2 linked regions of the Tribolium castaneum genome follow. The protein of the gene in region 1 purifies or fractionates together with the protein of each later gene. This does not show direct contact. Links are inferred from orthologs where the notes say so. Each region holds a gene or a part of one and is shown in the gene's direction. Other genes may lie near its edges.

Region 1 (3,570 bases):
TTTAGGTAAGTTTTACTGTTAAAATGTCGATGTTTAATTTTTTCTTTAGCCTGATGAGTGGTGGTTAACAGACAAAACGTTGCATAACAAGTTCTCCACCAGTTATTTTTTTAATTAATATATTATACACACTTTTAAAAACCGTATTTGGCCCGTGTTTGATTTCGCGCATATTTACTAGCAGACCATTGACTTTGGAACTCCTGTTCGTTCAATTTCGCCTGTTCTGCCAGATAAGTAATGTGGTGTTTCTTCTTCCTTGTGGGGTCCACCGGTTCCTCAACCACCGGTTTAGGGGCGCTATCTGGATCGGTTAATGACTTAGTCATCCAGATTTCCTTGTCGGGCAAAATCTCCTCCTCATTAATGTCCACAAGCTTGATATTAACCGGCCGTTTGGCCTTTCCTACCAGCTCTTTAAACGCCGCATTATCCAAACCATCGTACGGTTTCACCGGCTCAGGTGCGATGTTTATCACCGGAGGCGCAACTTCCTCCACGTTAACGACTGGAGGCGGCTTGGGTTTAGTGTTTCGTCCACAGACCTTCTGCCACATTTCGTCGTCGAACGTCTCAGGGACTTCAATATCGTCGTCGCTTTCGGCATCACTGCTTGAACCTTTTGTTATTTTCTTAATTGCGGCTTTTTTGGCCATTTCTGCCTTTTTCTTAACTGCGTGTGGCACTAAACTGTTGGCTTTCGATTTTTGGGTGACCGGAGGTTTGTTTTTTAGGACATTTGGTACGAAACTTTTAGTTGAGAGTGGGGAACCTTTAACTGGGGGCAGCATGGATAACAAGCCACTGCTTTTCGAAACGGTTTTCGTTTTCTTGCGCTGTGGTTCCTCCTCTTCTTCCTCTTCGAACTCTGATAGTTTCGGAATGGTTATTTTCACTTTTTGAGTTTTCTTATTTTCTTTGGGAGGGGGTTCATATTTCGGGATAAAATCTTCCAGTTTATCCTCCGTCACGTTAACTGTGGGTGTTGTGGTTTTAGTCTGAGGAAGGTGTGACAATATTTCTGGTAGTTCCGTTGTGTCTTCATTTGCTTCACTGTTATTAACTTTTGTGCTATTGATTATAACTTCCGAAGAAGTTGAGGGTTCTTCTTGTTCTTCTTCTTCACTGCCACTTTCATAGTCATACGAGACCAAAGCCATGGTTTCTGCAAAAATCGATGTGATAACAAGAAATAAACAATTACAAAACTGATAAGGCAATTACAGCAATAACATGGCTGTTTTTTGGTTAGCTTTATGACAACGCTGAATAATAATCCGACCTTTGTTCCTCGTTTTTCAAACAATTACAAGGCAAAAGCATAAAATATTTGTCGAGTGAGTTATTTTGAAACTGAGCAGCATGTTGAAGGTAAGTTTATCTCAATAATTGCAATAATTGATTGATATCTGTGATGTAAAAACGTGTAACTCAGTAACATATTTTTTCTACTTACCCCAATGTTTAAATTGTAGAGTAGAAATAGCGTAAAAAGAATTGATATTCTTAAAAGTAAGACAAATTAATGAACTGGTTTCGACGTCTAGACGTGACTTTTGAGGTTGTGTAATTTGTTGTTTCATCACAATCTTTTTCTTTAATAAAAAAACTAAAAACTGTGTGTAATTAACTTAGAGAATCATTGCAATAATTATGTACAAGGATAATTGTTAATAGTTCATATTTAAATTGAATTTCAGAATAAAAAGTATGTATGCAGGCAATTTGCACCACGGTGCTGTATAATGTGTTGCAGCACTCTTCAAAAATAAACTCAAAAATCAAAATTTTTGATTTAGCAGAGGTATAAAAATAAATTTTTCGTAAAGAACGTATGCAAGTGGACACAAATCTTTCAAAAGCTGTTTGATTTTGTCCTGTTTAGCTACATTTAACTTAATTTTCAAGTAAGTAATTGGTAAAAGAAAAGGGATAAAAATTGTTATGTAGTGTCCGGCTTTTTTTACAATAACTCTGGTTTAGAATCGAGTATCACTTTTCTAGTCTTCAAATTGTTCGGGCATTTTACTGCACAAAAAATGTCTGGATGTAATCTCTGTTGAGTTACTAGAGATGGCGAATTAAAGAAGTTTTTTTTTATAGAACGCGGTGACTTTGGTGACTGGAGGCGCCTCCGGGCTGGGAAAAGCAACAGTCGAAAGACTCGTCCAACAAGGAAGTCGTGTCATTCTCTGCGACTTGCAGTCTTCAAAGGGCCAAGAAGTTGCAAAAACGCTTGGCGAAGACAAAGTTTTATTCGCTCCTGTTAACGTAAACACTAAACACACATCCCAATACTTGAAACTTATTATTCATTTAGGTAACTTCCGAAAGCGACGTCCAATCAGCCTTAGATTTAGCCAAGCAAAAGTTCGGCAAGCTTGACAATGTCGTGAACTGTGCCGGAATTGGCGTTGCCTTCAAAACGTACAATTTCAACAAAAAAGCTGCACACAGTTTGGAGGATTTTGCCAAAGTTATAAATGTAATAACACGTAAATTATATTCCCAAGTACCGAAACATTTTTTTTTATTTGTAGATAAACACAATTGGCACATTTAACGTAATTAGATTAGCTGTGGGCCTGATTGGCGAAAATCAGCCAAATGAAAGGGGGGAACGTGGAGTGGTGATTAACACGGCAAGTGTGGCCGCCTATGAGGGACAAATGGGACAAGCGGCTTATTCGGCAAGTAAGGGGGCCATCGTGGGAATGACTTTGCCCATAGCTCGGGACTTGGCAAGTCAGGCAATAAGAGTCGTGACCATAGCCCCTGGTAATTAATTTTCGTTCTTACTATTTTTTAACATTCACTTGCAGGCCTATTTAGGACACCCCTATTTTCGGCATTGCCTGACAAGGTTGTAAAGTTTCTGGAAAAGTCTGTACCTTTTCCGTCTCGATTGGGCGATCCAGCAGAATTTGCCCATTTGGTGCAATGTATCATCGAAAATCCCATGTTAAATGGCGAGACCATTAGACTGGACGGTGCTCTGCGAATGCAGCCGTAACTTTTGTAATGAAACGAGGAATAAAGATTGAAAATATTTATTGATACTTTTACAAAATTAGTGCTACCTTTAACAAATAATTTAAAAGGTCCTGAAAATAAGGACCCATTTGGCACGTTTAATTTACTATGGTAAATACGTAGTTTAAAATGCTTACATTTTTAACCGTAGCGTTAAAACTGTACAATAATTTCCTTTGTTTTGCTTTGTATTTAAAAATAAATATTTTATCAACTATCATAAACACTCTTCAAACGAACAAGGATAAAACTAGAACAGCCACATATAGCACATGGGAAAGTTTGATTATGAATTGTGTCATTCGAATCGTCCAACCATTGCCTTCACCCAACTCTTCTCACTGACGTTCACATTTCTCGTCTCGTGACTTAAGTCAGCTTTAGTTTTGCTTTGCTCTATGTAAAGTTTCTGGATGTTGGTTGTACCCGACTTTATTGTCTCCGTTGACATGATTACGTTTGAAATGTTCTTTGTACTGATAACCAATCTGCTCGGTTTGACGGGAATGGGCGGTGGAGCTTTGCTGGGCCTTTTGA
Region 2 (3,331 bases), on another chromosome or scaffold:
TGGTGTCCAAAGACCAGCACAACGCAACATCCACCGATTTGCTATAAACACGTCTTTGACGTACTCGTCTGACATCATTTTTACTATTTTTTGGCCCCCTTTTACGGCTTTTATATCAACGATGACCGGGGTGTGAATAATTGAGGCGTCGCGCCTTGTAATTTCACACTTTAATATTTCAAGCGAAATTATTGCTTCTGGAGTTCTTCAAGGACTAAGGTGGGGTTTTTTCTGGGTTTTTGACCAAAAAAATTCAAACTCAAGCCAAAATAATGTTATTCCAATATGATTTTGAGCTAAAAGTCCACGTTTTTCTTTAAAATCCTTGTTTTGTCAAGAAGTTATCAATTAGGGTTAAAGTTATTGCTTCTGGACGATGAGTTTCTCAAGCACGAAGCTGGTCTGCGTCTGGAGATCTTTTTTCTGGATTTGGTCGTTGTTTTTAGGTTTGAGAACTAAGACTGGATCATCCAGAACTTTGAAAGTTTGCCCAACATTACTTTTCTCAATACTGTCAGCGTTTACGAGCTTTGTGACGTGACTTGGGGACTCATCTATTGCATTTTTGATTGATTCGAGAGTCGAGCGACGCATTTGCTTTTGCTGGAATCACAAAATTGCGCAAAAACTCGCTGGTTAAAGGCACGTACAGGAATAGAAAAATCAAAATCTTTGACGGTTGAAGACCTGCGACGCTCTTTACTGACAACAGGAAGTTCCTGTAACAGTTTTTGAAAAAAATCAACACATTATAATGAGATAATTACAACGGTTTGGGCATTGCGAATTTTTTGCCTCATCCGTTCCATCCCCCGCTTTTCATTCTCGCTTGTATCGTTCGCCTCAGCCTCGGGGGTTTTACCAGCTGACGTAACAGAAGTGTTAGTTGAGGAGGGGATTTTTTGGGCGGGTAATTCAATTTTGCCGGGGTTTTCCAAACTGGATCGTATAGTAGAGTTGGGGATTGACGCGCCGGACAAAAACCGCGAGTTTCGGCGCTCGGTTATGGACCCACGGGGCGATTTTTGAGCCCCAGACTAAAAATTCCCAATTGAAATTTTCAAAAGTGTGGGCACCAAAATTACGTCTTTTTGCTTCGAGGCCATGACTCTGGTCGTAATGCCTTTATTGAGGGGCTCCTTACTGGTGGAATGAAGATGTGACATGACGAATTTTGAATTTTGACGTGACCCCTAACCCGGCCCTGTGCTACGCCACTGGTGAAATGGACTGTGTTTATCACGTTGTAATTTGTTTTATTATCATAAAAGGAGCATAAATTACAGACTGGCTCAGGTTTATTATTCATTTGCAAACGAATAATTTAATAAATAAGTCCAATAACCAACTGTTAATGGTGATTTTGCGTCGTACGGTTGGTACCAAACCGAAAATAGGGGTTAGGTTTAAGTCGTAATTTCAAAACTTGAAACAATTTTTAATGTAAAAAACACGTGCATAAGTTTCGGTTTAAATTTATTAAGAAAATTACAACATGTTTAGTGCGGTTAGACAGTCGGCGAAATTAGTGAGGTTAGGTAATTTCGTGCGTGTGCCCCCTTATCGGCCCCCCAGATCGTTTTTTTGTGCCGAGGCGGCTCAAGGTCCCAATATTGAGGCACTCACAAATGGGGACAAAGAACTGGAACATAAGTTGAAAGTTTTAATTCTGGAAGTTGATGTCATGAGACAGGAGGGTAAATTGGTTCCTGACGATGAGTTCCTCAAAGACAAGCATTGGAAAGAACTGCTCGAATTGCCGACTTATTCGGCCCGCAAGCGCTTGTTAGAATATCTATTTAAAATCTCAAAAAAGAAGGAAAACAGACTGGTAATAATTTTTTTCTAATCCCGGAAGTGCATTACGTTTTATTTAGATCAAAAAAGAAGAGAAAAAGCAGCAACGCGGGGACAAGCCCGAAAAGAAGGAAAACGAAACGCTTGAAGAGTTCGTCTCGACGTACGATTTGGCCCACAATAATATTTTTCTGCGGGTTTACGATAACACAATCAATCAGTTGTACAATAACCGGTTGGTTCAAGCGATGCAATTTGGGCAAAAACTGGTGGTGGATTGTGGCTATGACCAGGATATGACAGTCAGGGAAAATAAAAACTGTGCCAAACAACTGACTTTATTATTTGCCGAAAATCGGGCCCATGATGGTAGAAAAACTGCAAAAATCCGCCGAAAATTTTATTCAAAATTTCAGATCCCTTCGATTTGCATTATTGTAGCCTCGCCCCTGACACCATCCTCCACGAAACTCTTCAGAGTAATATTGCAACGTTGCACGAACCTTGGTTCCCCCTCAACGTGCACGAAACCAGTTATTTGGAAAAATTCCCGAGGGAACAGTTGGTTTATTTAACCCCTCATTGCCGGGAAGAACTGGTGAAGTATGACCATGACGCCATCTACATTATCGGCGCAATTGTCGACAAGGTCAACACTCAGCCCTTATCCCTGGCCAAGGCCAAGCGTGAGGGGCTGAGAATGGCCAAACTGCCCCTTGACCGCTACCTCCAATGGGGCTCCGGTTCGGGCAAAAGCCTCACTTTAAATCAATGTGTGGCAATTTTGTTGGACGTTAAGCACACCGGCGACTGGGAATACGCTCTGAGGCACGTCCCCAGACGGAAAATCATCCAAATGACCGACCAAAAAGAACAGAAATCCTTCAAAAGCAGGTTCTGGAAGCCAGGCAAGAAACTGGATTTATCCAGGAAGGATAGGAGAGTAGAAGTTAGGAGTATCATGTATGATGAAAATTAAACACAGTAGATTATTAATTTTTTATTTACACCTAACTATGCCTAATTACGCCGCCTCCTAACTCGCGATATTCGCCAAGCGTTCGGTTCCTCGTATTTGTTGTAAAGTGGCTCCAAACGTTGGTTTTTCTTAAATTTGCTCAGTTTTGTCGGATCTGAGAATTTGAAGAAAGCGGGGGCGAACTCCACGAGCCATTTTGGGTCGATTGTGGTCACTTCGCGCATGTATTCCTTCGTGGTCTGCACCAGTTCGTGGTAGATCACCCTTGAAAACGCACATAGACAAAAAATTATAAAAAATAAAACCACTCGGTTTTTCGCGAAACTAAGCCGAAAGTAATGTCCTTTTAGCCTCTTCAAAAGTTTTATTAGGTTTTTACAGCCCTAAACGCGAGCTTTTATCAAAAATAACTAAAATAATTTCAAAAAAGGTGTTATTTAATTGTTTCAGTAATGAAACTGTCAAAAATGAATTTCTTTTTGCTTTTTTCAAGCAGTTGCATACTTTTTTCAAGAAGAAACTTAATTATCTCCATTATTTTTGAGAAAAACAACC

Evidence for each region. The genes of interacting proteins can lie anywhere in the genome.
Region 2: the proteins of scu (region 1) and rswl purify together in Homo sapiens (co-immunoprecipitation; 3 studies listed by BioGRID and IntAct, counting the BioPlex papers as one, with this or other methods). This does not show direct contact. The link is inferred for Tribolium castaneum from reciprocal best matches to the Homo sapiens genes HSD17B10 and TRMT10C.

What each region holds. Positions count from the first base shown.
Region 1 is NC_087394.1:34,712,676-34,716,245, reverse strand, and holds scu (3-hydroxyacyl-CoA dehydrogenase type-2), read left to right. Parts: upstream 1-1,229; 5' UTR 1,230-1,362; coding exon 1,363-1,371; intron 1,372-1,456; coding exon of another isoform or gene 1,457-1,583; exon of another isoform or gene 1,584-1,644; intron 1,645-2,103; coding exon 2,104-2,271; intron 2,272-2,320; coding exon 2,321-2,485; intron 2,486-2,540; coding exon 2,541-2,778; intron 2,779-2,822; coding exon 2,823-3,013; 3' UTR 3,014-3,053; downstream 3,054-3,570. Other genes in the region: proline-rich protein PRCC, read right to left, coding at 135-1,165, 1,457-1,583; uncharacterized protein GEFmeso, read right to left, coding at 3,332-3,570. UniProt on the Homo sapiens protein: Mitochondrial dehydrogenase involved in pathways of fatty acid, branched-chain amino acid and steroid metabolism. Acts as (S)-3-hydroxyacyl-CoA dehydrogenase in mitochondrial fatty acid beta-oxidation, a major degradation pathway of fatty acids.
Region 2 is NC_087395.1:23,608,962-23,612,292, forward strand, and holds rswl (mitochondrial ribonuclease P protein 1 homolog), read left to right. Parts: upstream 1-1,331; 5' UTR 1,332-1,495; coding exon 1,496-1,831; intron 1,832-1,877; coding exon 1,878-2,166; intron 2,167-2,213; coding exon 2,214-2,776; 3' UTR 2,777-2,793; downstream 2,794-3,331. Other genes in the region: odorant receptor 94a, read right to left, coding at 1-78; pea (ATP-dependent RNA helicase DHX8), read right to left, coding at 2,818-3,040. UniProt on the Homo sapiens protein: Mitochondrial tRNA N(1)-methyltransferase involved in mitochondrial tRNA maturation. Component of mitochondrial ribonuclease P, a complex composed of TRMT10C/MRPP1, HSD17B10/MRPP2 and PRORP/MRPP3, which cleaves tRNA molecules in their 5'-ends.